7 linked regions of the Ovis aries genome follow. The protein of the gene in region 1 interacts with the protein of each later gene in a biochemical or structural test. Links are inferred from orthologs where the notes say so. Each region holds a gene or a part of one and is shown in the gene's direction. Other genes may lie near its edges. The genes, in order: SNTA1, RPS6KA1, FRMPD4, MAS1, ADRB1, DGKZ and MCM7.

Evidence for each region.
Region 2: the proteins of SNTA1 (region 1) and RPS6KA1 interact in a test that uses a peptide from one of them, tested with the Homo sapiens proteins (2 studies listed by BioGRID and IntAct, with this or other methods). The link is inferred for Ovis aries from reciprocal best matches to the Homo sapiens genes SNTA1 and RPS6KA1.
Region 3: the proteins of SNTA1 (region 1) and FRMPD4 interact in a test that uses a peptide from one of them, tested with the Homo sapiens proteins (2 studies listed by IntAct, with this or other methods). The link is inferred for Ovis aries from reciprocal best matches to the Homo sapiens genes SNTA1 and FRMPD4.
Region 4: the proteins of SNTA1 (region 1) and MAS1 interact in a test that uses a peptide from one of them, tested with the Homo sapiens proteins (2 studies listed by BioGRID and IntAct). The link is inferred for Ovis aries from reciprocal best matches to the Homo sapiens genes SNTA1 and MAS1.
Region 5: the proteins of SNTA1 (region 1) and ADRB1 interact in a test that uses a peptide from one of them, tested with the Homo sapiens proteins (2 studies listed by BioGRID and IntAct). The link is inferred for Ovis aries from reciprocal best matches to the Homo sapiens genes SNTA1 and ADRB1.
Region 6: the proteins of SNTA1 (region 1) and DGKZ form a complex in vitro, tested with the Homo sapiens proteins (2 studies listed by BioGRID and IntAct, with this or other methods). The link is inferred for Ovis aries from reciprocal best matches to the Homo sapiens genes SNTA1 and DGKZ.
Region 7: the proteins of SNTA1 (region 1) and MCM7 interact in a test that uses a peptide from one of them, tested with the Homo sapiens proteins (2 studies listed by BioGRID and IntAct). The link is inferred for Ovis aries from reciprocal best matches to the Homo sapiens genes SNTA1 and MCM7.

The regions. Positions count from the first base shown.
Region 1 is NC_056066.1:62,899,954-62,903,592, reverse strand, and holds part of SNTA1 (alpha-1-syntrophin), read left to right. Parts: intron 1-1,506; coding exon 1,507-1,714; intron 1,715-1,869; coding exon 1,870-2,000; intron 2,001-3,639. UniProt on the Homo sapiens protein: Adapter protein that binds to and probably organizes the subcellular localization of a variety of membrane proteins. May link various receptors to the actin cytoskeleton and the extracellular matrix via the dystrophin glycoprotein complex.
Region 2 is NC_056055.1:240,301,767-240,305,821, reverse strand, and holds part of RPS6KA1 (ribosomal protein S6 kinase alpha-1), read left to right. Parts: intron 1-1,914; coding exon 1,915-2,076; intron 2,077-2,307; coding exon 2,308-2,384; intron 2,385-2,664; coding exon 2,665-2,782; intron 2,783-3,999; coding exon 4,000-4,055. UniProt on the Homo sapiens protein: Serine/threonine-protein kinase that acts downstream of ERK (MAPK1/ERK2 and MAPK3/ERK1) signaling and mediates mitogenic and stress-induced activation of the transcription factors CREB1, ETV1/ER81 and NR4A1/NUR77, regulates translation through RPS6 and EIF4B phosphorylation, and mediates cellular proliferation, survival, and differentiation by modulating mTOR signaling and repressing pro-apoptotic function of BAD and DAPK1.
Region 3 is NC_056080.1:10,634,636-10,639,307, forward strand, and holds the start of FRMPD4 (FERM and PDZ domain-containing protein 4), read left to right. Parts: upstream 1-1,445; 5' UTR 1,446-1,523; coding exon 1,524-1,561; intron 1,562-4,672. UniProt on the Homo sapiens protein: Positive regulator of dendritic spine morphogenesis and density. Required for the maintenance of excitatory synaptic transmission. Binds phosphatidylinositol 4,5-bisphosphate.
Region 4 is NC_056061.1:83,844,843-83,849,328, forward strand, and holds the start of MAS1 (proto-oncogene Mas), read left to right. Parts: upstream 1-1,321; 5' UTR 1,322-1,605; intron 1,606-4,486. UniProt on the Homo sapiens protein: Receptor for angiotensin 1-7. Acts specifically as a functional antagonist of AGTR1 (angiotensin-2 type 1 receptor), although it up-regulates AGTR1 receptor levels.
Region 5 is NC_056075.1:34,061,385-34,066,025, forward strand, and holds ADRB1 (beta-1 adrenergic receptor), read left to right. Parts: upstream 1-1,286; 5' UTR 1,287-1,401; coding exon 1,402-2,946; 3' UTR 2,947-4,035; downstream 4,036-4,641. UniProt on the Homo sapiens protein: Beta-adrenergic receptors mediate the catecholamine-induced activation of adenylate cyclase through the action of G proteins. This receptor binds epinephrine and norepinephrine with approximately equal affinity.
Region 6 is NC_056068.1:75,288,057-75,292,553, forward strand, and holds the start of DGKZ (diacylglycerol kinase zeta), read left to right. Parts: upstream 1-1,315; 5' UTR 1,316-4,022; exon of another isoform or gene 4,023-4,497. UniProt on the Homo sapiens protein: Diacylglycerol kinase that converts diacylglycerol/DAG into phosphatidic acid/phosphatidate/PA and regulates the respective levels of these two bioactive lipids.
Region 7 is NC_056077.1:36,789,477-36,792,507, forward strand, and holds part of MCM7 (DNA replication licensing factor MCM7), read left to right. Parts: exon of another isoform or gene 1-249; coding exon 250-387; exon of another isoform or gene 388-689; coding exon 690-839; exon of another isoform or gene 840-1,038; coding exon 1,039-1,153; exon of another isoform or gene 1,154-1,240; coding exon 1,241-1,372; exon of another isoform or gene 1,373-1,564; coding exon 1,565-1,648; exon of another isoform or gene 1,649-1,920; coding exon 1,921-2,314; exon of another isoform or gene 2,315-2,561; coding exon 2,562-2,645; exon of another isoform or gene 2,646-3,031. UniProt on the Homo sapiens protein: Acts as a component of the MCM2-7 complex (MCM complex) which is the replicative helicase essential for 'once per cell cycle' DNA replication initiation and elongation in eukaryotic cells.

The DNA.
Region 1 (3,639 bases):
TAGGCTCTTGGCAGTGAAAGCATGGAGTCCTAATGGCTGGTCTGGCAGGTAATTCCCCTCCTGCCGTTTTTTAGTGTGGATTTTCTTCTTCTTGGAAATAGCTTGGTGCCTGCACCTCTATGCATGTGTCCATATTCTAGACAGGGAGAAGGCAAAAGACAAAGGAATTGTTTCCCTGGTATTTTGTTCTATCACTGCATAAACAGCCATCCTAAAATTTAGTGGCTTAGAAGATAGCACGTTTAATATTTTTCACAGTTCTGTAATCTGGGCTGGCTTAGCCAGGCAGTTCTTCTGTTCCTTGTGCCATCTGCAGGGGCTACAAATCCAAGAGAGCTGGTTCACCTATGTGCCTGCTTCCTCAGCAGGGGTGGTTGGAACAGCTGGCGGCTGGCTAAGCATTCCTCTTTTTGTAGGGCTTTTCCACGTGGCTAGCTTGTTTTCCCTCTCAGCATAGGTGACCTTGGGGTAGTTGGATTTCGTGATCGCTTAGGAATGCCAAAATGGCACTTCTGCCACATTTTGTTTGTCAAACCAAGTCGGAAGGTCAAGGAGAGGAGAAATAAACTTCACCTCTCGGTGAGAGAGTGCATATAGGGAGAGATGAGTTTGGTGGAGGCCATCTTTGGAAACGAACGGCCCAGCTAGGAACACTTCAGTTGGGAAGGGACTTCGCTTTCTATTTCAACAGTCAGAATTGGATTGATGGCCAGTGCTAGCTGCAGGGGAGATCTGTAGTGGAGGAAGGCAGAGGTGAAGGCATTGGAATGGATATGTGCAAGCCATTCTCCAGTTTCTGCCCCACTTCACTGGTTACAGAAATTCCAAAGGGGAGTGAATCTTTAAAGCCCCACAGAACTTTCGAAGGTCCTTTCCCTGCCACTGACTCCTCTTGGACCTCCTTGAGACCTTCCCCTTACACTTGCCTGTGTGGCTTTTTGTCTCCCCACGCTTTCCCTTCACCATACCCTGGCTTTTTCTTTTCTTTTTTAACCATACAGTGTGCCTTGTAGTGGTGCTTCCCTGGTGGCTCAGTGGTAAAGAATTGACCTGCAGATGCAGGAGACACAGGTTCCATCTCTGGGTCGGGAAGACCCCCTGGAGTAGGAAATGGCAACCCACTCCAGTATTCTTGCCTGGAAAATTCCATGGACAGAGGAGCCTGGCTGCCTACAGTCCATGGGGTCTCAAAGAGTCAGACATGACCCAGTGACTAACACAATTACTACTACTACACTTTTGGGTGTGTGTATTTGTGTGTATATGCCTGTATGTGTGTTGGAGAGAGAGATGTAGTCTCTTATCCCAAGATAAGATAAGATAGATAAACCCCATGAGGCCCAACAACTGTGGCCAGAGCCCAGGAGCGGGAGTTGCTCCTGATTCTTTCATGGACATCCCCTGTGGTTTCCTCTGGTTTTGTGGTAGATGGGGGTTCCTTGGCTCAAGTTGTAGCATTGGGCACCTGTCCAGTGGGACTCCCCTCTACCTCACTTGCGCCTGCAGGTATCTGGAGATCTGCTCGGCTGATGGCCGGGACACCCTCTTCCTGAGGGCCAAGGATGAGGCTAGTGCCAAGTCCTGGGCGGCTGCCATCCAAGCCCAGGTCAACACTCTGACGCTCCGGGTCAAGGATGAGCTGCAGGCGCTGCTGTCAGCCACCAGCACAGCCGGGAGTCAGGACATCAAGCGGATAGGCTGGCTGACTGAGCAGGTGCCTGCCGGGGCCCCGGGGACCCCTCCTCCCCTCTTCCCCTCTCCCAGAGGCGACCCCAGTCCCATTTCCCCTCACTGCCTCACCCCGCCCTGGCCCTCTCACCTCTCTTCTCCCCTCCCTGTCCCCTCTCACTGGTGCCTTGCCTCCTGCAGCTGCCCAGTGGGGGCACAGCACCCACCTTGGCCCTGCTGACCGAAAAGGAGCTGCTCCTCTACAGCTGTCTCCCCCAGACCCGTGAGGCCTTGAGCCGGCCGGCGCGTACTGCCCCCCTTATCACCACCAGGTATTTGCGGGTAGGGCAGGCCTGTGTGTCCCACCCAGAGCTTGTGGGGGCGATGCTCTAGATGGACCTCAGAAGCTGGGGACTCCAGCCCCATTCTACGCTGAGTTATTCCCCAGGTGGCCTGAAGCAAGTCCCTGCCCAGTCTGGGCCTTGGTTTCTTCATCTATAAAATGGGGCCTCAGAACAGAAGGATATGAGGTCCTATCAGTCACTCACTCATTGACACCTGCTCTGTCCAACCTGGTGCTGCCTGGTTCAGATGAAAGACAGTCCCTAGAGGTCTCTGTCCTCAGGGAGGACCCAGCCTGGTGAGGAGACTGGCCTGGAAACAGCCTTTACAATGCAGAGTGTAGGAACCGCTTAACTCTACCTGGCCTGCAGGTGGGGGTGGTGCAAGGCTTCAGGTAGAAGATGACATATGAGCTGGACTTTGGCAGATGGGTAGAAATTTGCTATTTAAGGAAGGGTGGAGAAGCATCTTACACAGAGGGAACAATATAGTCAGAGGGACAGAAGCATGAAGAGCTCTCACAGCTTCACAGAGCTCACTGAGTGTGCTATAACCAGGGTGTAGACTCTGTCTGGGAAGTGGAGAGAAAGAAGGCAGGGAGTTGGCAGGCCCTGATCTTGCAGAGCTTCTGTTGCGTGGATAAGGACTTTTAGCTTTATCTTAAGAGCTGTGGCAGACAGAGTGAGAAGAGTTTTAACCTGAGAGTGAGGTGTCTCGTCGGGTCCTGTTTTAAAAAGGATCTGTGTGGCTGCCATGCAGAAAATATACTGGAGGAGGGGGATGGGAGCAGTTACGCTGGAGAGACAGTGGAGGTGGGTAGAGGCAGCAGATGGAGAAGAAAGGCCGCATTTGCATTGGAAACACATGGTGGGAAAATTAACCAGGCTTCGTACTTGCCAGATGGGGAGGGTGAGGGAGGTGTCCTGATGAATGGATGAACGGGAGTTTTAGAGCTGGTGTCTGGGTGGGCAGTAGGAGTGAGGGTGGGAGTGCAAAGGGAGGGGGTTGGATCAAGATGTTGAGTCCAAAGTGTCGGTGGGGGGCGGGTAGGTAGGGAGCTTGGGTAGGAAACTGGGGAACTTGTGAGTCTGTTGCTTAGGGCTGCCAAGTAGGAGACTGGGCATCAGAAACAGCTCCAAGGGGGAACTGAAGCTATAAGAGAAAGCTTGTGGAGTGAGGACCAAAGAGGGCGAAGGTATAGAACTCTGGGGTCTGCTGCCCTGGGAGGGCCAGTGAACTGCCCAAGGTTACGCAGCAAGTGGGAGTCAGGCTGTGAGGTGTGGGCCCTTGTTGCTCATGCCTCCTCACTCCAGGCTGCATTCCAGCACACGTGTCAGGAGCCTGCTGCCTACTAGGGATGAGCAGGTCATGAACGTTCTACCTAATCAAGTGATTCATTAATTCAGGCCACAAATGTTTACTAAGCACCTACTTTGTGCCAGGCATTGTTTTAGTTTCTGAGACTATAGAGTTGAACAAGGTAGACAAACATTTGTGCCCTAGATGATATTCTAGAGAAAAAAGCAATCAAAAGCCAACTGTAACAGTAAAAAGTAAGTATAATTTCTGGTACCATAAGGAAAAGTGTGGCTAGTGAGTGATAGGGGAGAGTGCCATTTTATTTTTTGG
Region 2 (4,055 bases), on another chromosome or scaffold:
ATAATTAGGTGAGTTAGTGACTCTGAATGGAACCATGCAGAGGGAGAGGGTGTGGATGAAAAGCAAGTGGGATGCGTCAGCCTCCTCCGGTTACACACGAGTACATGGGGCCAGGGGAGGGTCATGTGCTTAAGGCCTCGGCAGTGTCGTTTGTCCATTTCTTCAGCAGGCATTTATTGAATACCTACTGTGTGCTGGGAACTGTTCTTAATGCTGGGATGCAGCAGTGAGCCAAACACTCATGGAGCTTACATTCCAGTGGGTGGGTTCTGAAGACGATGAAGTGAATCTCCAACAGTGGTAAACGCTGTGGGTAAAGATAAGCAGGGTGAGGAGAGTAAGGAGTACTGGTCTGTGGTTGCTGTTTTATATGGAATGGACCAGGTGGCGTTTTATATTTCATATGGAATGGTCCAGGGAAGCCCTGATTGGTAAGGTGACAATTTGAGCTGAAACCTGAAAGAAATAAGAGAATGAGCCAGGCAGATGCCTAAGGGGAGAGTATTCCAGAAAAAGGGAATAGCAAGTGCAAAGGCCCTGGGGCAGGAGTGTGCTTAGCACTTTGAAGGAAGAGCAAAGAGGCTGGCGTGGCCAAAGCCAGCTGAGCAAGGAAAGGAGTGATAGAGTGCCAGCGATGTGGGCAAGCAGTAGGGGAGAGAGGAGGTGAGGCCACCAGGCCATCGTAAAGACTGTTCTTCCTAAGAGGGGAACCCTTGGAGGTGACATGATCTGACTTACATTTAACAGGATCACTCTGGCAGCTCTGTTTAGAACAGGCCATAGGAGATGAGACAGAAGCAGAGAGACCGGTTAGGAGGTTGTTGCCGTATTCCAGGGGAGGGATGATAATGGCTGGGATCTGCATGCTGCTAGTAGAGGGGCTGAGAAGTGCCTGGGCTCTGGACATTAAAAAAAAAAAACATTTATTTATTTGACTACCAGGTTTTAGTTGTGGCACTCCGAATCTTTAGCTGTGGCGTGTGAGATCTTGTTCCCTGACCAGGGATCAAACCTAGGCCCCCTGCATTGAGAGCACAAAGTCTTAACCACTGGACCACTATCCAGGGAAGTCCCCGGATATATTTTAATGGTAGACCCAGCTGTGTTTGGTGATGGATTGATAGAGTCATTCTTAATTCCTCTTTTTTTCTCATATTCCTCAAAGATTTTGACCCATGCAATGGGAAGAATGGAGTTGCCGTTAGGTCACATGTGTGGTCCCCCGCTTCCCAGGTGGTGCTAGTGGTAGAGAACCCGCCTGCCAATGCAGGAGACATAAGGAGACGTGGGTTTGTCTGATCCCTGAGTTGGGACGATCCCTTGGAGGACAGCGTGGCGCCCACTCCAGTATTCATGCCTAGAGAATCCAGTGGACAGAGGAGTCTGGTGGGCTATAGTCTGTGGGTTCCCGAGTCAGACACGACGGGAGCGACTTAGCATGCGTGCATGTACACACCTGTGTGGCACGCAGCTTTGAGGAGTTCCCTGTGGATGGTGAAGTTAGAGCTGACAAGTGGCTCAGTGGTAAAGAACCCGCCTGCCAGTGCAGGAGACACAAGAGTCTTGGGTTTGATCTCTGAGTCAGAAAGACCCCCCGGGGTAGGAAATGGCAACCCACTCCAGGATTCTTGCCTGGAAAATTCCACGGATAGAGGAACCTGACAGGCTACAGTCCATGGGGTTGCAAAGTTGGACGCAACTGAGCACGCGCACGCACACAGACATTGACCTAGAGGGTTCAGGTTGATAACACCAGCAGCAGCAAGGCCCCTTGGCAGCCCCTTCCCCCCTTTCAGATTCTGGGTCCTTCTGCCCCCTCTCTGGGCCCATCTTCTGACTCTCCCAGCCCTGGCAGTGGACCTGGGCCCCGGCAGCCTGCCCACCTGGAGGACTGACCCAGCCCCCTGCCCCCAGGTCGTGCACAGGGACCTCAAGCCCAGCAACATCCTGTATGTGGATGAGAGTGGGAATCCCGAGTGCCTGCGCATCTGTGACTTTGGCTTCGCCAAGCAGCTGCGGGCTGAAAACGGGCTCCTCATGACACCTTGCTACACCGCCAACTTCGTGGCACCTGAGGTGAGCGGCCCAGCCTCCTCAGCTGCGAGAGTGAGGGGGGGGCCTGGCACAAGGGCCTTGTGTCCCTTCCAGAGGCCCCACGCTGTCCAGGACTCCAGTCTGTGTGGTCTCAGTCCAAGTACCAAGGCAGGATCAGCCCATGCCTGGGACCCTTGTCCTGCGTTTTGGGGAGTAGCAGGCAGGCATGTGCCCCTCAGCCCGACCACCCTCCCCTGCCCGCCTTCCTGCCAGGTCCTGAAGCGCCAGGGCTATGATGAAGGCTGTGACATTTGGAGCCTGGGCATTCTGCTGTACACCATGCTGGCGGGGTGAGTGCCCCTCTGGCCTGCACCCTGTCTGCCCCCACCCTTCCTCCAGCCCTAGTGTACAGGCTGGGGTGTTGCTTGTCTGATGGGAGAGACTCATCCCTGCTTCAGGAAGAGCTGGAGACAGGGATGTGGTGCTGCCTTTGGGAGCTCCACCTTGGGGAGGAAGTGCCGCCTTTGGGGGCACCCACTCTGAAGGGGGAGATACAGTCCGCCCCCCGCCACCCCGGCCACCTCAGTGGAGGCCAGAGGCCATACCCACACCAGGTGGACTTTCCCCCAGATACACTCCATTTGCCAATGGACCCAGTGACACGCCAGAGGAAATCCTGACCCGGATCGGCAGTGGCAAGTTCACTCTCAGTGGGGGAAACTGGAACGCGGTTTCGGACACAGCCAAGGTGAGCCTGTAAGGCCTGGGCCCTGCTCACTCAGGGCTGGGGAGGCAGGGTCCCATCCCAGGACTTTTCAGCGTTTCACAGGCGGGGGGCTGGCAGCCTCATTTCTCCATGTGGAATATCCCACAAACCTCTGTTGCTGTACTTCTGCAAGTGGAAGATTCCCAGGCAGACTGCTCCCCCTCCCCCGCCCTCTATCTTGTGTATTGTTTGGGCAACTTGGTGATCATTCACTGGCCCTTCCTGTGTTCTGGGCCCTGAAGGGGGACAGAGGGCTGCATCGTCACGGCCCCTGCCTCTTGGGGACTTAGTGTGAGGGGACAGACAGGTTTGCACACAAGGGGACAGAGAAGCAGATCCTCCTGGTCAGAGGTATAGGCAGTGGAGACCCAGGCAGGGCTACGGGCCACCAGGCAGACAGGCCTTCTCAGAGGAAGGAACATTTGCGCTTTCAGTACTAAACAACAGGTCCCAGTGGTGGGAACCTCTGTGTCAGACGCTGGGTTGAGTCCTTAGTGAACAGTACCCCCTCACATTGACGTTATGCTGCTGCTGCTGCTAAGTCACTTCAGTCGTGTCCGACTCGGTGCGACCCCAGAGACGGCAGCACACCAGGCTCCCCTGTCCCTGGGATTCTCCAGGCAAGAACACTGGAGTGGGTTGCCATTTCCTTCTCCAATGCATGAAAGTGAAAAGTCAAAGTGAAGTCGCTCAGTCATGTCCACTCTTCGCGACCCCATGGACTGCAGCCTACCAGGCTCCTCCGCCCATGGGATTTTCCAGGCAAGAGTACTGGAGTGGGGTGCCATTGCCTTCTCCGATTGACCTTATGAGTTGGGTACTTTTGTCATCCTGTTTCTCAGAGGGGAAGCTGAAACTCAGAGGGTCAAAGTAACTTGCCCCAGATATCCAGTCCACGAGCAGCGGAGTGAGGTTTTGATCCTTCCCAGCCCCACCCTTTGGTTCTTCCCATCTTCCTGCCCGGCTTCTAGACAGTGAAAGAGGAAAGAAAGGGCCTTCCAGGAAGAAATCCCCAAAAAGGGCATGTGCCACTTGAGGAGGCCCTGGAGCAGCGTGGAGAATGGGTCGCAGGGGCTACTGCAAGGGTCCAGGCGGGAGATTGCAGGAAACAGCTGCCTTAGCCATTCCCCATCAGCCAGGCCCAGCACTCTGCTCCCCTGCTAGCCTCTCCCACCAACTCCTTGCCTGCTCGTCCCCAGGACCTGGTATCTAAGATGCTGCACGTGGACCCCCACCAGCGCCTCACAGCCAAGCA
Region 3 (4,672 bases), on another chromosome or scaffold:
CTGTGTTAAATTTGTGAACTCTTTTGCTCCCCACACTTTATGGAGGATGTGGGAAAACTGAAATGGAAGTTAAAGGCAGTGGAGGTAGTTAAAATTCTGTAAGCTAGTTCCTCTTCAGAAACCTTTCAGGAAATGGGCTGGTTTCCCTTGGGGAGAAGCATTGGGTCAGAGTCAAATGTGTGGATGGGGGTGGGAGTAGGGGTGGAGCTGAGTTACCCTGCATCCTGTGAAGATTGTCCCCTCCTTGCAGGCAGGTTGACACCCCTGATTTGGATATTTACTGTGGGAGGCCCGCCATAGATGGTTGTACAAGTTGTGCATGTTATACATGGTGCAGGGGGAGGGGGCGATTCTTTCTAATATATGAAGGGCTCCAGGTTCACTATTGAGACACTAACTGTGAGACTCTGGAGTTGTTCTTACCCAACCTCTAACACACGCATATACACTTTGTTCCCATCTACAATTTGGAACCACCTAGAAGATCTAGCAGGCCATCTAGAGTAAGAAATATCACCTAGAGACAGGACAAATGGTCAAGGATGTTGGTTGACATCCTAAGATGACATCATGTATTTCCTTCCCACAGTTGGGCTCTAAAGGAGTCTCCCATGTTCCTGAGAGAACAGTGGAATTCCCGCAGGTCCCGGGCAGAACAGCATTGGCCAGGATTCAGTGATGCCTCAGAAACTGGACCCTAGGCCTCTGGTTAGCAATTGTCACCAAGCAACGCTGCTCATCACAGCTGCTTGTGATATGGAGTCACTTCCTTGTTCCTGTTGCTCTTGAAAAGACAAGCTTCTAGAAAATTTTCTTTTACCTACGCTTTCATTTTGCTGTTGAGTCACATTTAAGGTGTGAACTAGAAAATGTAAAAGCTAATGTGTGTATTTTCACTGCAACATAAATGGAGAGTTTGTCTAAGGTTTTCTGACTCACTTTGACTCACTTTGAGTGTAGTTGTAAGTGGAAATTTTGTAGTTTAGTCAGAGTTCAGAAAACTGAGGCTTGGAGTTATTTGTTTCAGATGTATAAAAATAGGAATTTATTTTCATGTGTGCATTTATATTGTGTTGTGATAGCTGTTTGTTTGTCAGTCCATCCTAATATCTGGTCCCAGGAGTGCCTAGTGTCATAGAAAGTGTGAACGTTCAAAATTGGCTTGTGTGTCTTCAGGGCAGTTGCTTAATCTTTGTGAGCTATTCATCGTTTCCCCATCTTGTGAAACAAGATGTGTATATGTAAGGCTGCTTTGAAAAGCTAACAAGATACTGTAAAGACAGATTGTGAGCCCAGTACATGACCTAAAAACGTCCTAACCGTTCATGTAGTCAGCTGAGTATACAGCCCGCAGTTGAGAGGAGCCAGTCCCGTGCCCCTTCTGGAATTTGTCAGAGAAGAAATTTCCAAGAGTCTGGTGTAATGATTTTTTTCTTTCCTCCAGCCACAGGACGAAGTCTTCAGGCTGGCCACCTCCCTCGGGAACCTGGGGCTTGAACCAGGTACCACCCTATGGATGGGAGATGACGGCAAACCGGGATGGCCGAGACTGCTTCATCAAGTAAGTTGAACACAACATTCATGAACGGTGCCAACTTTGCCTTCTGGGACTTTTCTGTTTTGACCCTTGACTCCATAGAATTAGCATTCTTAAACTGCAGACTCCTGGGCACTTGGAGGCCATGACTCAATCAACTGATTGCCTGGACCTTCCATATCTGGTGATATGAGGTTGCTTTGTTCTTGGGCTCATGCCATTTTAGGCCCTCCTGGGCCAGAGCAAAAATGTATGTTATTGAATCTCAGGCCAGTTGTATTCATTGTCTGAGACAAGTGAATAAAGTTTGACATGGAGGAGTGTCATTTGGAAAGCCTTCTTGAAATGATTAAGACAGAAATATTACTGGTTCTTCTCTAACTAGAAATATCATCCGAGAGGATTACATGCGTTATGGGTTGTCCTATAACTTTCTCCCACTACCATTGGTTAAGGTTTTGGATATTTTGTGGTGCTTTTCTTTTTTTTTTCAATTGTGCTAAAATATATATTACATACCAATTATTTAATTTATGTTATATATATAATGGTTATATTACATATAACATAATGGTAACTTTTATTTACCATCTTAACTGCCTCTAGGTGTACAATTCAAGGACATGAACTATATTCACACTATTTTGCAACTATCACCACTTTCATTTTCCAGATCTTTTCCATCTTCCCCAACAGAAACTTCTGTCCACATTAAACAGTCATTCCCTATTCCCCCTCCCCCCAGTAACTGGTATCTCATATAAGTGAACTCATACAATATTTGTACTTTTTTTTATCTGGCTTATTTTACTGTGCATAATGTTTTCGAGGTTCATTCCTGTTGTAGAATGTCTAAGAATTTCATTCCTTTAAGACCAAGTAATACTGGGTTGGCTAACAGTTCGTGTTTCTCTGTCAAATCTTACTGAAAAATCCAAATGAAGTGTTTGACCCCCCCCAATATTTAATTGTATGGATAGATCCCATTTGTTTATACATTTATTTGTCTGCAATCATTTGAGCTGTTTCCACCATTTTGCTCTTGTGAATAATGCTACTGTGAACATTAGTACCTGGAGGAGAGCAAGACAACCCACTCCAGGATTCTTGCCTGGAGAATCCCATGGACAGAGGAGCCTGGTGGGCTACAGTCATAGGGTCGCAAAGAGTCGGTCACTACTGAAGAGATGTAGCATGCACACAAGAGCATTAGTGCACAAGTATCTGTTTGAGTCTCTGCTTCTGATTCTTTTGGGTATATACCTGGGAGTGGAATTGCTGGATTATATGATAGTTAGATGTTCATTTTTTCCAAGAATAACCAAACTGTTTTTCACAGAGGGTATAGTGCTCTGGATTTTTTGCAGTTGTGTAAAAAAAGTGCTTATATTGCACCTCTAATAATAGCAAGAGGCCACTCTGTTTTCTTCTCCAATCTAAGTGAAATATTCTTAATTATGAGAAATTAGTGAACAAGATTTGAAATCCCAAAGCATAGTTGGCCCTAGCCTAATAGAAGTGAACAGAGGTTGTAGGCCAAGGGGAAAAAATGTTTCAATACCACAGGCTTCATTGTTTGTTTCAGCCCAGCGGACTATGGACTAATTAGCAAATAAAGGATCCATGAGAGATAGGGGATCATTTTTACAAAAATGGAAACATCTGCCAAGATTGCTATTGAGTATTTGCTCTTCTGGATAGTCCAGCACATTTAAGTTAGGACTGCTGGCGAGTAGCTCCGGAAAAACTCCTGTGGGTGTTGTTAGTGGTTTCCTAGTCTCTGCAGAGGGGAGAGGACTTCTCTTCAGAGTTCAGTTTGTGACTGTAGGGCTGGCTTCCTGGGTCCTTCCTAAATAGGATGGGGAAGGAATCTCTCAGGAATCTTGAAGATATGAAGATAGCCCAGGAGTTTTTTACACTCTATATTGTTGTTCGCTAATTTCAACAGTTTGCCTGCATCCCTCATAATGGTAGAAAGATGATATTATATTATGCCATCTATTTCAAAACATGGATATGAATTTACGTAATTGGCACAGTTGAGGTGGCCTAGATGCATTGACTCAAAACAATAAAAATTTCTGCCAAAGAAATGTAATTTAGAAAACACATGAGTTGTGAATTTTGTGATGGTACAACTCATGCTTCCCTAATTAAAATGGATTTTTCTTTGTCTGTGGTTGGATTGAGACTTCTGTACATTAGAGGCCAGTTGATTGATAGATACAAACCCAAACGATGGCCTATTGGTTGGAGATTCTAGGAACCTCAACAAGATCTACAGATATGCATTTCCAACAATGTCATTGACATTTTTAAGGGCCAGCCCAGGTGTCAATTTAACATTTACACTGGCCTAATGCCAGCTGTTGAAACATGAAGGAGCAGATCAGCAACTTATTAGAGAAGCCTGCACTGATTACTAAATGACAAGTTTTAAAACCAAAGTCACCGGTATCACTTATCTAAATCCACAGCGCTTCTTCCTTGAGGAGTAAATTTCCACAGTCTTCTCAAAGATACTGTTTAAAGATGTCAAAAATGGTATTTCTTTTGAAAGTCTTTGTTATTTCTTTGCACTAATGAGTTTTATAGTATGAGTTTTATAAATAATCAGAATCATTCTGAGTTTTAATCTTACCGAGTAACTGATGTCCATTACAAAGAAATTACAAAGTGTTTCTCTACTCATTAGTTTTAGAAGTTAAAAGAACAATTTGAAAACTAACCTATTATTAGTAATTAGCACCTTTTCATTTACTTTTCAACTCTGTTACATTTTCTCTTTGAAAGAGAAATGTCTTCTTTCTTATCTTGTCTTGAGATCTAAATGATAACTCGCATCAGACGATCGATTTTGATGGAGATACAACTACTTCTAAGTGATGGACAGAGCTATGGGAGGAACCAAGGTTCACGTGTTCAAAGTTAGTATCTCAGAGTTAATGCTATTGCTAATTCGATTGAGATAACAGAGTTAATGCTATTGCTAATTCGATTGAGATAATTGAGACTTTTTTTTTTAACTTTATTTTGCTTTACAATACTGTATTGGTTTTGCCATACATCAACATGAATCCACCACGGGTGTACATGAGTTCCCAATCCTGAACCCCCCTCCCACCTCCCTCCCCA
Region 4 (4,486 bases), on another chromosome or scaffold:
GCATCCAGGTAATGAAATCGCACTGAGTCTCCCCCATCTTCTGCTCTGCTGCTTAGCACTGCCTGCCCAGTAGGTGCCCGGACCTCACCTTGTTCTGCCTGCCGTTTGGAGACCTTCAGGGAGGTGCCCTGGTACCCCCCTCCTCTTCCACTGGAGGGCAGAGCCGCGGGTCAGGTTTCCCACCAGGCCAATTTGGCTGGCCTCTCGTCTTCTTGCTTACGAAAACAGTCGGAAGAAGGCTCCGTCTGTGGCTCCTAAGGCTGCTTTCCCATAGAATCCTGATTTGCTTTCCTGCCCTCTGTTGATCAAATCAGTCCCAGGAGTCCACGGCTACTTTGCCGCAGTAATCGTGAAGGAATACTTTGGGGGAAAGAAAAAGGAATAAATGCTGCCACAAATGGGTGGTGGGGGTCTTCACCACAAGGCTTGGCTACTCAGACCCTCCAGAAGCCTCTTGCTTGGTCTTGGCGCCTTCACGTGGGGTCTGTTGACCAAGAAGAGGGTCTCAGGAGAAAGTAACTTGAATGCCTGGGTGAGGATCTGCATCTCACAGAAACAGCTGCTCCCAGGAATCGTCTTTGAGCCAGGCTGAGAAGCGAGCTGGGCACTGGTGCTCATCCACCCCTGGGACCCAGTTCTGGGCTCTCTCTCTCTCTCTCTCTCTCCTCCATTGCATCACACTTGCACACTCACATGGGCATGAGACTCTCTTAACATGGGTTGTAGGAAAGGAAAGGAAAGTGTCAGTTGCTTAGTTGTGTCTTTGCGACCCCATGAGCTGTAGCCCGCCAGGCTCCTCTGTCCTCGAGGAGTCTCCAGGCAAGAATACTGGAGTGGGTTGCCATGCCCTTCTCCAGGGGATCTTCCCCACCCAGGGATCAAACCCAGGTCTCCCACATTGCAGGCAGATTCTTTACCATCTGATCCACCAGGGAAGCCCTATAGGAAGGCAGGGGATATTGAATTGTTTAACCACGTGTCCCTCACTGTGCAGGTGCATTCCTACACCTCATTTAACCATTGCAGCTTTGGGTCATGATGAGTTCCATTCTACAGGGGACAAGACTGAGTCTTCCAGAGCTTGGCAGAGACCACTTGGCCAGTCACAGGCTGAGTCAGGAATCTGAGCCGCGGCTCTCTTTCGGCTACACATGCGATGTTGCCCTTCTGTGCAGTGTTTCTCTGGGCTGTCTTCTGCCTCAGCCCTCGCTGGCCCTGGTGGTTCGGGGTGGGAGGGAGGTCAGTCACCTCACGTGATCACCAGCCTAGTCCCACTCTGGATCGGAGTGAAGATTTTCACTTGAGCGTGTCACTGAGCGATGCCATTTGAAGCACAGCTTCTGCTGATAAGCGTGGGACCATCTGCTTGGCACATCTCGAATTTTTTCAGCAGTGGGAGAGCAGCTCTGATTTCCTCGGAGAAGGCAGGCTGCAGGCTGCCTGGAGGGGATGTGGGCACCGGGGACCCTGCAGGTCGGCAGGACAGCGGCGCCCAGGACGCGAAGGTCCAGCCTCCCGGTCGCCACCTCTGATTCCCTCTGAGCGAATGGACCGCGTGAGCCTGCACCCCGGTTTCTAACTGCTCAGCTGACCTTGACAACCAAAGTAAGATTTTTCCATCTTCCAAAAGCTATTGCCCGGACCACCCTTTCTGTGCTGGTGGTTTTAATAGTGTATTAGATGTCTGCTCCGTGTTGCCAAAAACCTCTCTCCTGCCTTTGTTTTGGAAAATTTGCTTCTATTGCTGCATTAACTGTCCCCAGACGTCAGTTTTCAACTTTTGGGGTCGAAACTTCCACACTAACTTTTTCTTTCTGACTCGTGACAGGGGGGCGAGAATCTTGGCAAGAATCTCAGGTCACAGAGTCAGTGGTGGACTTGGAGGTGGTCAAGGTTGTTTAAAGGGATATTATCAAGGATAAAGGAATTGGGGTTTGAAGGGGTTGTTGCTGTGTGTTTGGTTCCTCTGGGGATATCACTTGGCTGGAGGCAAGCTGGGTTGATTCTCCTCTGCCTTCCTCAGAGGGCACTGGTGTGTCAGTCATGGTTTCTGTTGCTTCCCAAGTCAGGTGCGCAGGTGGCCAGGTTCTGTTGAAAGGATTCCCCTGTTCTTTGATGTGAGCATCTTGGCAGCATTTCCCAGGCAGGGTGGGTAAGGGGAACCGGAGAGAGAAAATGCGGGATTTCGTCCGATCGCTATGCAGAGAGCAGGGAGAAGGTGGTAAGGAGCCCACCACTAGGTATCTTGACCTTGGCACTGTGACATTTGGGGGCTAGAAATTCTTTCCTGTGGGAAGCTCTTCAGTGCCTCCTGGGATGTTGAACAGCATCCGTGGGCTCAGCCCACTAGGCTCCAGTTCCCTCCTCCTCTCAGTGTGACCATCAAAACACTGAATGTCCCCTTGGAGATAAAATCACCCAACTCCCCCCACTTTCGAGATGAGTGGTCTAAGGTGACCTTGCTGTACCCTTGGAAAGGGAGTGAGGAGTTTCTGCTTCTCTGTGCAGACGGCTCGAGGGAGCGAGGCATTTAATACAAGGACAGATGTCCCTGCGGCACATTCCCATCAGATCCAGTGCCTGCCATGGAAATTCCATCTCACGAATGGGTCTCTGTTTGTCCAGGTTACTGCACACACACGGAGGCGGGCACGTGCCCTCTCTCCAGAGCTGCACACCTGCAAGGTCCAGCCTGGGGGCCGGTCCCTCCTTTCGGTTGCCTAGGAGCGTATGAAGTTTCAGATGGCCTACCCTGGACACTGGTTGGCTTTTCACTCTTGTTCTTTTTCCTTTCCTTTCCTTTCTCCCTCCTTCCCTCCCTCCACCCCTCTCTTCCTTCCTTCCTAAGATGGCTATCGTAGCCTGAGAATTCAGGACCAGGGTAGGACCGTGGGCAGCTGAGCGGAGAGGGGGCTATGGAAGAGGATGCTTTTCTTTTAAGAGAAAACTGCAGCAAGCACCTGAACAGAGCCTTTAAAACTCTGCTTCTACCTCCGACTCTGCCTTTTCTCATCTCTCTCGCTTTTCTGTCACCCTCGCTGCCCATCTGTTCATTGAGAAGTGAATGCAGGTAGCAGTTTCTAGTAGACCTGCCAGCCCGCATCCTTAAACATCCATGGAAACCACCATGCTTGTTTTCTCTGCTTGTTGATTTATGATTTCAGTTCGGCGTTTCCATGAGACTTGTACTGGCAAAGTGCTTTTCAGTGTCTAGCTTTTCTGACACCCCAGGCTTCCAGAAATACAGTAAACTATGTGCCAATGCTGCGAAGAACCTGGGGTTCAGAGGGGCGAAGCTGCTTTGTTTAGTACTCACACCTGTGGTCAGTTTGAGTGGAAGTGTGGCTCTCAGGCAAAGAAGGATAAGCAGACAGAATACAGTTGCCCCTGCAACATAATTTGAACAATGTCCAACTGTTTTTTCTGAACATTTCTTTTGCATTCAAATGCTTCACTGACTATGATTCTTTTATATTTGCGGGAGGGTGGGTGTTATGTTCTATCATAGCCTGGTTCATCATTTGTTCAGTTCAGTTCAGTCACTCAGTCCTGTCTGACTCTTTGCGACCCCATGGACTGCAGCATGCCAGGCTTCCCTGTCCATCACCAACTCCCAGAGCTTGATCAAACTCATCCATCAAGTCAGTGATGCCATCCAGCCACCTCATCCTCTGTCGTCCCCTTCTCCTCCTACCTTCAATCTTTCCCAGTCAGGGTCTTTTCCAGTGAGTCAGGTCGCCAAAGTATTGGAGCTTCAGCTTTAGCATCAGTCCTTTCAATGAGTATTCAGGACTGATTTCCTTTAGGATTGACCGGTTTTATCTCCTTGCAGTCCAAGGGACTCTCAAGAGTCTCCTCCAACACCACAGTTCAAAAGCATCGGTTCTTCAGCACTCAGCTTTCTTTATGGTTCAGCTCTCACACCCATACATGACTACTGGAAAAACCATAGCTTTGACTAGATGGACCTTTGTCAGTAAAGTAATGTCTCTTTAATATGGTGTTAGGATTATCCTAGGTTTTCTTCCAAGGAACAAGCTCCTTTTAATTTCATGGCTGAAGTCACCATCTGCAGTGATTTGGGATCCCAAGAAAATAGTCTCTCACTGTTTGCATTGTTTCCCCATCTATTTGCCATGAAGTTGATGGAACCAGATGCCATGATCTGAATTTTTTGAATGTTGAGTTTTAAGTCAGTTTTTTTTTCCATTCTCCTCTTTAACTTTCATCAAGAGGCTCTTTAGTCCCTGTTTGCTTTCTGTCATAAAGGTGGTGTCATCTGCCTATCTGAGGTTATTGATATTTCTCCCAGCAATCTTGATTCCAGCTTGTGCTTCTTCCAGCCCAGCATTTCTCATGATGTACTCTGCATATAAGTTAAATAAGCAGGGTGACAATATGCAGCCTTACGTACTCCCTTTCCTATTTGGAACCAGTCTGTTGTTCCATGTCCAGTTCTAACTCTTGCTTCCTGGCCTGCATACAG
Region 5 (4,641 bases), on another chromosome or scaffold:
ATATAACTTTACATGCTATTGGATTTTAATCTTTTTGAGTATTTATATATGTTTTCTTCTCTCATCCCTCCAAAATTAATCCTAGAGTTTTGAGAATCTGGGAACTTGGGCAAAGGAGAAGGCAACGCAGCAGACCAAGAAATTTGAAATCTCAGTTCACTACTGTGTCACCCAAAGCCAATGTACCTTTTTTGTTTGCACTGACCCAGCTCAAGTCATACAATCACGTGAGTAACAGAACACAAAATCCAGGTGTTATTACTGAACATGAAAAGTCTGAAAAGTAATTAAACGTGTTCTAGCTTCCGTGGCGGTGTCATTTACTCTAACATGCCTGTCCTTAAGCCTCTCTCTCTCTTTACATTACCGGCACACACCGTTGCACCATACTCACACATCCATCAGCTGGGACCTGGGAGTGTGTATTTTTCCAACTGGTCCTCAGCATTAGCTGTCAGCTGCACAAACCTTCCTTTGCTTTCTGCATCTGCTGCCCTGGAACGACAGAAGCTTCTTGCAAGAATAGCTCCCGGGGAGCGTTCCTGACAGATGCGCGCTCTGCTTTAGCAAGGCGCTCGCTGGAAAGTTTCTTCTAACCGCTCACACCCGCCTCCGATCCGATCCCCGAGCTGGCAGGACGCGAGCTGGCTGGGACTCCTCTTGACAGAGGAAGGGCTTTACACACACCCTCCTAGGCTGCCCAATACAAGAAACAGTCTTGCAGCCAGACTCCTCCACCCCCAGCGAACAGACCGTCCAAGGCGCTCCGGTGTTTCGAGAACACCGAAGTCCCCTTCCTGCTAAAGGGCGCGTGAGCTCTGCTCTGCAGGAAACCTGGGCACTGGAGGTAGATGGGATGGGTGGCGGCGGGTAGAGCCGGGGCGCAGCGGAAAGCAAACGCCGGAGGCAAACAGGGCGCAGGAGAGGGGAGATTGGGGGCCGCGGGAGGGGGCAGGGTGGAAGCCGGGCGCGACTGGGAACCGAGGGGAACTGGGCACTGGAGCCAAGCGGGCTCTGGAAGGGACGCGCGGGCAGGAACCCGCGAGCGCTGGGGAGGGGCTTGCTTGGCGATCTGCCCCGGACTCCCTAGAGCCGCAGAACCGCCGGTGGAGGCGGGGTGCTAGGAGTTGGCGGGGCCGGGTGGGGGTGGGGGGGAACCAGAGAGGGGCGTGCCTTCGCCAGGATTGGCTGCAGGAGCCTGACGCGAGGCCCCGGGGGTTGGCTCGGGGGAGTGGGAGCCGGGTGGGGTGGGTGCTGGGTGCCGGGGCTGCGGGCTCCGCGAGCTCAGAAACATGCTGAGGTCCCGGCAGCTGTTCCAGCAGCGACAGCGGCTCCAGCAGCAGCGGCGGCGGCGGCGGCGGCGACAGCGCACGGCTCCGGCGGGGAAGGCGCCCGGCGCCCATGCCTCCGGCCCCGCGCCGCGGCTGCGCTGACCTGGCCGCGACCTCCCTCCGCGCGCCCCGCCGTTCGGGCCTCTGGGGGGGTTCCCCAACCGCGGCCCAACTCCGCCACACCCCTCTCCCCCGGCCTCCGCAGCTCGGCATGGGCGCGGGGGCGCTCGCCCTGGGCGCCTCCGAGCCCTGCAACCTGTCATCGGCCGCGCCGGTCCCCGACGGCGCGGCCACGGCGGCGCGGCTGCTAGTTCCCGCGTCGCCGCCCGCCTCGCTGCTGACCTCGGCCAGCGAGGGACCCCCGCTGCTGTCGCAGCAGTGGACGGTCGGCATGGGCCTGCTGATGGCATTCATTGTGCTGCTCATCGTGGCGGGCAACGTGCTGGTGATCGTGGCCATCGCCAAGACTCCGCGGCTGCAGACGCTCACCAACCTCTTCATCATGTCGCTGGCCAGCGCAGACCTGGTCATGGGTCTGCTGGTAGTGCCGTTTGGAGCCACAATCGTGGTGTGGGGCCGCTGGGAGTATGGCTCCTTCTTCTGCGAGCTCTGGACCTCGGTGGACGTGCTGTGCGTGACGGCCAGCATCGAGACCCTGTGTGTCATCGCCCTGGACCGCTACCTCGCCATCACGTCGCCCTTCCGCTACCAGAGCCTGCTGACCCGCGCGCGGGCGCGGGCCCTCGTGTGCACCGTGTGGGCCATCTCGGCGCTGGTGTCCTTCCTGCCCATCTTCATGCAGTGGTGGCGGGACAAGGACGCCAAGGCGAGCCGGTGCTACAACGACCCCGAGTGCTGCGACTTCATCATCAACGAGGGCTACGCGATCACCTCTTCCGTCGTCTCCTTCTACGTGCCCCTGTGCATCATGGCCTTCGTGTACCTGCGGGTGTTCCGCGAGGCCCAGAAGCAGGTGAAGAAGATCGACAGCTGCGAGCGCCGCTTCCTCAGCGGCCCCGCGCGGCTGCCCTCGCCCGCGCCCTCGCCCGGGCCGCCGCTCCCTGCCGCCGCGGTGGCCAACGGGCGCGCCAACAAGCGGCGGCCCTCGCGCCTCGTGGCCCTGCGCGAGCAGAAGGCCCTCAAGACGCTGGGCATCATCATGGGCGTGTTCACGCTCTGCTGGCTGCCCTTCTTCCTGGCCAACGTGGTGAAGGCCTTCCACCGCGACCTGGTGCCCGACCGCCTCTTCGTCTTCTTCAACTGGCTGGGCTACGCCAACTCGGCCTTCAACCCCATCATCTACTGCCGCAGCCCCGACTTCCGCAAGGCCTTCCAGCGCCTGCTCTGCTGCGCGCGCCGGGCCGCCTGCGGGAGCCACGGGGCCGCCGGGGACCCGCCGCGCGCCGCGGGCTGCCTGGCGGTGGCCCGGCCGTCGCCGTCTCCCGGGGCCGCCTCGGACGACGACGACGACGACGACGAAGACGACGTCGGGGCCGCGCCGCCCGTGCGCCTGCTGCAGCCCTGGGCTGGCTACAACGGCGGGGCGGCGGCGAACAGCGACTCGAGCCCGGACGAGCCAAGCCGCCCGGGCTGCGCCTCGGAATCCAAGGTGTAGGGCCGGGCGCCCCTCCCCGCCTTCCCCGGCTTCCCCAGTCCGGGCGCGGGCTGTGCGCTCCAGGAGCAAGAGAACCCGGGCGCCCCTGAACCGCTTCCCCGGGAAAGAGGTCTGTGTTTACTCGAGACCGAAAGCAGGTGAACTCGAAGCCTGCGAACCTCGTCTGCATCATCCAAGGGCAAATAGGAAAGCCACGGACCGTCGCACAGAAAGGAAAGTTTGGGGAGAGGTGGGAGAAGTTTGGGGAGGGGTGGAAGAGTGGCTTACTGATTGTTCTTGGGGTTCTTTTTCCTGTTTCTGGTCCAGCCTTCTGTGTGTGCGTGTGATGCATCTTTAGAGTCCCTCCTCCCCCCGCCCCCCCGCCACGTGGCTTTTAACACTTTCTGCGATGACTGGGAAGGGAAGGGGGAAGCGTTAGGAGGTAAAAGTCTCTCGACTTAGTTTCCATCCCATTCCTGGGAACAGAAGCGGTCAGCCAGAGAGAGAGGAGAGAGAATGACACTTTATCAGGACGTTGTTTCCTTTTGCTTTTCAGAGAAATTCCATTTTAATTTCTGAGGAATTATTTCTCCTGTTCTGAAAGCCGAGGGCAAGGATGGATGCAAAAATCGCGTTTCAGGAAGTTTTATGCTCTTCTTGGAACAAGCCTCACCTTGCTTCCCTTTCGGAGGGCAAGCGGGCTGTCCCTGAACGCCTCCTCGGTGGTCAGGCTGAGGGGTTCCTACCTCACTCACACGGTGCACATTGCACGGCCAGATAGAGAGACTTGTTTATATTAAACAGCTTATTTATGTATCAATACTAGTTGGAAGGACCAGGCGCTGAGCCTTCGTGACATGTGACTCTGTCCATTGAAGACAGGACAGAAAAAGGAAAAAGAAAAAAGGAAAACAATTCAGATTACTGCACATGTGGTATAGACAAAAAATCAAAACAAAAAAGCCGTGATTCAAAGTGGCATTTTTTTTGCACAGTATTAGGAACTGTAAAGTCCACAGAAAATGTTATTTGCACAAAAAGAAATGAAATATTTTTTAATGGGAGTGGGGTGGGGCAGATCTTAAAAACTAAAATAAAATTCAGATTCTATCTCTGTTGTCTGTTATGTTATTGAGCTAGCAATTTATTGGAAAATACCTTTTTATACTCTTTTATCATGGTACTGTATCCATATTATAAAAAATTATCTTAAGGATTTTTTTTATTATTTTTTTATGTCCAAGGGCACACGTGAATCTGCTGGTGAAATTTAGCACTTGTGTGTAAATACTATTTCCTCTGTGTGCTTTACCAAGTATTTATACTCTGGTGCAACTAACTACTATGTGAGGAATTTGTCCATGTGCAATAAATACCAATGAAGCACAAAAAAAGATTATGTACTGTGTGTCTGTAAGGGGGGTCAGTGATAATGGAAAAGACAGTTTGTTTTGTTCGCAATATAGACTGGATTTCCCATAGAGCTCTTTTAATAGCTTTTCATGACTCAAGAGCATAGCAAAATGCCTCTAAACCAAATAAGGCGTGCACCTACTGAGAGAGAGCTGCAGACTTGCCCTACATTTTCATAGCCGGTTCCAGAATATTCTAGACTACTTGGAGGTGTTTTCAAGATCCCATCTGCCACACTTGACTTAAGAAGTAACATTTGAGCTTGTGCATCTTCTTTAAAAAAAAAAAAAAATGGAGTCAGGT
Region 6 (4,497 bases), on another chromosome or scaffold:
ACAACAGATTGCCTGCAGAGGCAGATATTAGGGTCCAGATGTCTTCTAATAAGCTAGACATTAGAGATTTACAAAATTAAAACATGCCAGTCTTCTCGCTACTTTTTTTGTGTTGGAAGATAGAGCTTATTTTCCATAAAAGTGTGTTATTTATATTAACATACTGGGCTTATTGTTTTTAAATAGTATTTTAATATATTTTAAATGAATAGTGTTTTAAACATTTCTCAGTTTTGATTTCTAATACGAAAAAGTGAAAGCGGTAGTTGCTCAGTCCTGTCCCACTCTCTGTGACCCCATGGACTGTAGCCTCCATGAAATTCTCCAGGCCGGAATACTGGAGTGGGTTGCCGTTCTCTTCCCCAGGGGAATCTTCCCAACCCAGGAATCCAACCCAGGTCTCCTGCATTGCAGGCAGATTCTCCACCATCTTAGCCACCACGGAAGCTAATATGGTCCACGTTAATAGCTGTAACTCTCAAAGAACACCTTTTGGGGATCTTCAGTAATTTGTAAGAGTATAAGAGGGTCCTCAGACCAGGATGTTGGAGAGCTGGTGCTCTAGATTCTGGGGGCCAGGAGTGTAAACCGAGGGTTGGCATGCTGGGCTGGGTGGGTGCAAGGTGGACTGGCTTCTTCTGGACCTGACAGGCCCCCTGGCAGGGCTGCGAAAGCCGGGATCTGGAGGCCCGGATCAGCCCTTCTGAGCTCTGGGCATGATGGGCCTCCTCGAGCCTCAGGTGCCCTGGTGGTTCAGCTGGGACCGAAATGTCACTTGCGCAGGGGGAGCTACAAGCCTCCTGTCTGGTAATCCTTGTGAAAAAGCGCTTTGTAAGTTGTGAAACACTCCACAAGATATTTGTTTTTGTGGTTATTTTGTCTGGGGCCGGTGCTTCGCTGTCTCAGATGCTTTCCCCAGGCCCCGGAAAAACCTGTTCACGGGGAGCTAGAGGCTGTAGGGTGACCTCCCCACCACGTCTAACCCCCCCCCCCACAGCCCCCTCGCCTTCCTGGAGCTAAGATACAGGCTGTGCTTGTGACCGGGCTGGCTGGAGGGGAAGCTCCTGGGCTGTTGCCCTGCCAGCCTCTGGGGACGCTGGGAAGAGAAGCCGGGAAGCCAGGCTCGTGCCCCTGTGTGCCCGCCCGGCCGCCCGCCCAGCAGCCGCTGCCTGCTTGCTCTGCTGGGAGAGGAAGTGCAGTCGGTTACCAATCGGGTTATTTTCATAACGGCTGTCTCAGGCTGGGGGGGCGGGGAGGAGGGTAGGGAGGGGGAGGGGGCAGAGGAGCAGCCTCAGCAGCTCGCTCTCCAAACTAGGACTTGCTCAGCCGGAGGCCAGCAGCTGGAGCTGGCACTGCAGCTCTGCAACAGGGCTCCCCTGCCCACGGGGACCCCGGCCCCCACCCGCCTGCTCTGCCTGCCACCTGAGGGCACCTCCTGCCTGCCACCCTGCCTTCCAGATCAGGTCAAAGGGGCTTCCCTCAACCCTCCCTTGCCTTCTGCTTCCTAACCCTCTTGGACCTGTCGGGGTGGGGTTGCGGGGGGAGGGTCCCCCAGGCACCACTGTCCCCAAACCAGGCTCCTGGAGCTGATGGAAAGGGAGCGGGAAGGGATGGGGGTCTGAGCTGCTGTCCCCGAGCCGGGGCAGACCACGTCGTGGTAAACATGACTGGCCTAGTTGCCCCTCGTACCGCGCAGCCCTGGCCCACGTCTCGCACTGTGAAGTTTGCTTTGGTTTGGTTTTGGCAGTCTCCCCTTAGTGAGTGGAGACCCGGGCACCCTGCCTCAGCAGCCCCCAGGCAGGCCCCACTTCCAGCCGTCCCCACCCCCTTCCCTCGACCTCAGCCTCGGCGCTGTGGGAGCAGAGCCGCCAGGGCGGCTTCTGACCCGCAGGCCCTGCTGTGGGGCTGCTGGAGATGACCTCTGGGCATCGTTGCCAGCCTTCACCAGGACGTGGCGCCTGGGGTGGGTGGCATTCCACACTCAGTGTGGAACGGGTGCTCTGGCTGAATCCCACAGGGTGGGCTGTGCGAGCACCCTGGGAGGCAGAGCAGTCCCTGGAGGCCCAATCTGGTGCCGGGGCAGAGGGTATCTGTCCCAGCATGAGCAGGGCCCCCACACAGCCCAGGCTGCCTAGCTGTGTTCCTCGTATGGTGGGTGGTGGCCATCCTGGCTGCTCCCGCTTCCCTTTCTGGCTCCTACCTGCACCGTCGTGCATGCCCAGTTGTATCTGGCTTTTGATGACCCCAGGGACTGTAGTCCACCAGGCTCCTCCATCCATGGGATTCCGCAGGCAAGAACACTGGAGTGGGTTGCCATGCCCTGCTCCAGGAGATCTTCCCAACCCAGGGATCGAACCCACGTTTCTTACATCTCCTGCTCTGGCTGGCGGGTTCTTTACCACTGAGCCACCTGGGAGCAGAGACAGACTCCAGTAGGTGGCACGACCCACACGCCCAGGTGTCTGCTGTGGATGTAGGCCCTGCCAAGCCCCTCCTCTCTGCCGGCTGTCATCAGGTACTTTGCACCGTTAATGTCATCCGAACCTCTGTCACGTCAAAGCTTCTGGACTAGGTCGTTTCAGCCCTGTTTTGCAGAGGAGAAAATTGAGACTCCAAAAGGTTAGTTGATCAGCCAAGGAAAGCAGTGGCAGATACAGGGTTCCAAAGCTTGAAGGTAAGATGGCGTGAGCCAGTCTAACTGGGCGATCGGGTCCTGGCCTTTCTGCCCAGCAACCGATGGAGCTGGGGCTCTTGTGCCCATTGCTCCCGGCAGCTGCCTGAGCCTAGGCACCAAGGGTGCCCGGCCAGCTGCCACCAAGCCCGTCTGCCCACAGCACCCTTTGTCCTCCTCCCCAGGCTCCTAGCAGCCGGCTGGACGTCGACTCCGGGCCCCCGAGTCCTTTCCCAGCCCATTCCCTTCGGGTGTGACAGGCTTCCCCCGCCGGGCCCTGACCAGGAGGCTGAGGGCAGCCGTTTTTGCTCCGCTGTTGGTGTCAGAACCCTGTGGGGCCTCCTCCGGTGACCTTTACATGTACTGAGGGTGGTGTGTGGAAGCTGACAGAGCGTGAGGTGAGAGGAAGCTGCCGCCCAGGGCCGTGCCATGGGAAGAGGCTGCAGGCGCAGGCAGAGGAGAGTCCGGGACAGGCCTGAGAGCCGGCAGGGCCTGGGAGCAGACCCAGGAGAGGCCTGGGCCGAGATAGGAAGTCAGGAGTCAGGCCTTTGCTGACCAGAGGACAGAGGTTTCTATGGCGACCAGAGGAACAGGAAGCCTGCGCCGGGAGGGAGGGGGTGTCGGAGCACAGAGGTGCGGTCGCCTTAGAGGAGAGCGTGTCATAAACCGTCAGATCAGCCAGCTGATGGCCTCCTCCAACCGACAAGGAAACTGAGGCCCGAGAGGGAGCGGCTTTGCGTGAGGTCACGCGGCGCTGGCCTGGCCTGGCCTGGCCCAGCCTGCCCCTGCTGGTGGTGACCACGCCAGCAGGCCGCTGGGGAGACCCCTGGGCCGGGCCCGGCGGGGACCCAGGCGTGGGGGGGGCCCCTCTAAGTCACCCCCGTGTCCTGAGGCAGGTGAGCTGCAAGGCCTGTCCGCACCCCCAGCCTCTCTTGTCGCAGGCGCGGGGCTGGGCAGGCGGAAGGGTCCACCCACAAAGCGCCTGCTGCACCTCCCCCCCAGTGACTGTGGCCTTTTGTTTTCTGGGTGACACTCGCATCAGGCGGTGTGTTCGGGTGACTAATCTCCGGGCTGGGCAGCTGTCACAGGGCGGCCTGACCAGGCGGGCGGGGAAAGCTGACACCCTGGGGCAGTGCTGGAAAGTCAGGGTCCCGGCGGCAGCGGGCCGCTGGCCCTCCAGGCTCTTTCTGCTGGGCGCAGCGCAGACCCTGGGTCAGGCAGACCTGAGTTCAGGTCCCGCTCCTGCCCGTGGCCAGCCGTGTGACCCAGGAGCCTGGGCCTGGTCTCCTCAAGCTGGTTTCCTCCTCTCTGTAACCTGCCTCGGGGGAGGTAGCTAGGATCAAAGCAGATGGTGAGTGAGCGCGCTTGTCACGTAGCGGGTGATGGGTAAATGCACCGCTGTTGCCGTTTTGGCACCTTAGTCCCAGCTCAGACTAGACTCTGCCCTCGGGTTGAGGTGGGTTCCAGCGCCTCCTCCTCACGGACTAGCTGTGCACCTTGGGCTGATTATCTCCTCGGTCTCTCCTCAGGAGCCATGCATGATACCGTGTCTATTCTTTAGGGTGCTGTGGTTTATAAAACAGTGCACGTGTTTGCCAAGGACTTAGTATCCTGCCTGATGTGTGTGGGCACTCAGCAAATGTCAGGCAGGACGGCACTGATTTTAGGAGGAAACCAGGAGCTCTTCTGCCCTCCTCCCCCTCACCTGCAGAGGCTGGCAGATCATAAGCAACAAGCCCTGGAGCCCGGCAGCCCCCAGCACGGCTTCTGCAGGCATGGCTGCCTCCATGTCAGTACTCCCGCACCTATCCAAGGCCCTGGCCTAA
Region 7 (3,031 bases), on another chromosome or scaffold:
AGAATGAGTTTCGCCTCCTGGTGTTTATCTGGTGCCTTTTCTGTTTCCTGTGTGGTCACTTTTCGGTTTCTCTCTACGGTGGAGTGGTCTTTCCACCCAGTCTGTTCTCTTTGTGTCTGTTGATGTGTACCTTGCACGGCTTAAGACAGTCCCAAAGGTTTCATCGTCTCTGCCGGAGGAGGGGCGTGGCTCCTGTGACTGAGGGCTCCTTCCTCGTGACTTTCTCTGGTGCTTCCCTTTCCACTCTAGATCCAATCTCCTACCTTCATGCCTCTGATCATGTGCCCGAGCCAGGAGTGCCAGACCAACCGCTCAGGAGGCCGACTGTACCTCCAGACTCGTGGCTCCAAATTCATCAAATTCCAGGAGATGAAGATGCAGGAACACGTGAGTTTAGAGTATGAGGTCCAGGGCCCAGGGAAGTTTGAGGTTGGGAGTTCACTCAACTCCAGTAGAAACTCGTGAAGTAGAGGGAAGAAAGTAGAACAGAGAGAGGAGCTGAGGCAGAGAAGTTGCAGAGAGTAGGAGGCAGGCTTCTCTGGAACTTTCTGACTGAGCTGGGATGTGGTAAAGGAGAGCTCAGCTTCCCTCTGTTGGTTTGTGTGGGGCCAAATAGGCCAGGGAGTGGCAGATGGGTGTGCGCAGGAGGGGAGGTTAGTCCTCCGGCCTCAAGCGCCCTTCTTCCCCAGAGCGACCAAGTGCCCGTGGGAAATATCCCTCGCAGTATCACGGTGCTGGTAGAAGGGGAGAACACAAGGATCGCCCACCCCGGGGACCACGTCAGCGTTACTGGCATCTTCCTGCCAATCCTGCGCACTGGGTTCCGACAGATGTTCCAGGTGAGGAAGGGAGTTTCAGAGGAGGAAGTGGTGGTCTCCTTCCTCCTTACCCCTCCCTTTTACCAGCCCCACAGAAGAAAGTTTCAATAGCAAAACACCAGGCAGAATGGAACAAAAGGGTTTGTCAGGAACTCCAGAGGGCATCGTGTGGTGGGCAAGCAGAGAACTTCATTCATGCCCTGGCGTTTTCCTGCCCAAGGGTTTACTCTCGGAAACTTATCTGGAAGCTCATCGGATTGTGAAGATGAGTAAGAGTGAGGAGGATGAGTCTGGGGCCGGAGAGCTGAGCAGGGAGGAGCTGAGGCAAATCGCAGGTGAGGGGTCTGCAGGAAGATAAATGTGAGTTTATCCCAAGCGCTTCTTTCCCCTGGAAAAACTCTTGAGTCTTGGCTTTCCCGTAGAGGAGGATTTCTATGAGAAGCTGGCGGCCTCCATCGCCCCAGAGATATATGGGCACGAAGACGTGAAGAAGGCACTGCTGCTCCTGCTGGTGGGAGGCGTGGACCAGTCTCCTCGAGGCATGAAAATCAGGGGTGAGTGGAGACATCAGGGAAGGGTGCCAGACCAGGGTCGCATCGGTCACAGAATAAAAGCCGGCATCTTGATTTCACGGGCGCAAGGTGGGATTAGAAACAGGGCAGGCAGACCTCAATATCCTTTTCTCTGTGTGCAGACAACCTGCATCGAGGGAACAGTCACTCAGGGGCTTCCTTCCCTTCCTCCAGGCAACATCAATATCTGCCTGATGGGGGACCCTGGTGTGGCAAAGTCACAGCTCCTGTCTTACATTGACCGCCTCGCCCCCCGCAGTGAGTATCAGACCCTAGGAGAGGCAAACTTAGGAGGAGGACCACCAGGCTTCCGTCGTGGGAGGGCCAGGGGATGGAGATGGGTGTTGGTGTCATCACCGCCAGACCTGCCACTGCCACTGCCTCGGGACGGCCCGGCTGGGTTGGTAGAGCAGTTCAGCCCAGGCCTCGCCTCACGGCCGCGTTCCCTCTGCCCTGCCGTTGCTCCCTTACTCTCCTCCATTTTCCTAAACAGGCCTGTGCGTGTCTGCCTTCCTGACCCTTCTGTGCAGGCCAGTACACGACAGGCCGAGGCTCCTCCGGGGTGGGCCTCACGGCGGCTGTGCTGAGAGACTCGGTGAGTGGCGAGCTGACCTTGGAGGGCGGGGCCCTGGTGCTGGCCGACCAGGGAGTGTGCTGCATTGACGAGTTCGACAAGATGGCGGAGGCCGACCGCACAGCCATCCACGAGGTCATGGAGCAGCAGACCATCTCCATTGCCAAGGCGGGCATTCTCACAACGCTCAACGCCCGCTGCTCCATCCTGGCTGCCGCCAACCCTGCCTACGGACGCTACAACCCTCGCCGCAGCCTGGAACAAAATATACAGCTTCCTGCGGCATTGCTTTCCCGATTTGACCTTCTCTGGCTGATCCAGGACCGGCCCGACCGAGACAATGACCTGAGGTGACTGCAGTTCTGCACTTGGGAGACACCCCCTGTAGCCATCTCTGTGCAGGGAGGAGAAACTGGAAAACCTGTTATTGTCTTAGGGAAACAGCAGGAACCTTCCCCTTAAACAGCAGGGGTTGCTCCACAGTTCTCAGAGGGGGTCAGGGTTGAAGCGCTGACAATCCTTGGCTGACCAGGCTGTGGGGTGGAGCGCTGAGGGGGCACCAAGACACAGCGCTCCTGTTGCCTCCCCTCCTCCCAGGTTGGCCCAGCACATCACCTACGTGCACCAGCACAGCCGGCAGCCCCCTGCCCAGTTTGAGCCTTTGGACATGAAACTGATGAGGTAGGAGAGCCGGACAGGGCTGGTCCACTCCCTGGCGTCTTGGCCTCTGTCTCTCTCTTTTGAAAAGCTTTCCCCCCTTCCCCTCCTCCTGGTGTCCTGGGTCTGAGAACAGGGAGTCTTGGTTCCCCCGGGCTGGCCGTAGAAGACCACGGCAGAGAACCTGCCTTCACACACCTCTACCTGCAGTCTCAGGGTTACTAACCCAGGTGCAGATTTTGGCAAAGCTGGCTTTTGCTGCCTGGGTGCCTGACAGCACTGCTCTGAGGAGTCCGTCCAGGGACTCCCAGGGGCTCCTAATGTAGTTTTTCCCTTTTAGCTGTTCTCATGAATTAACAAAATCATCTCTTAAGGCAGGTGGATTTGTCTCAATCACGCAAAGGCCATTT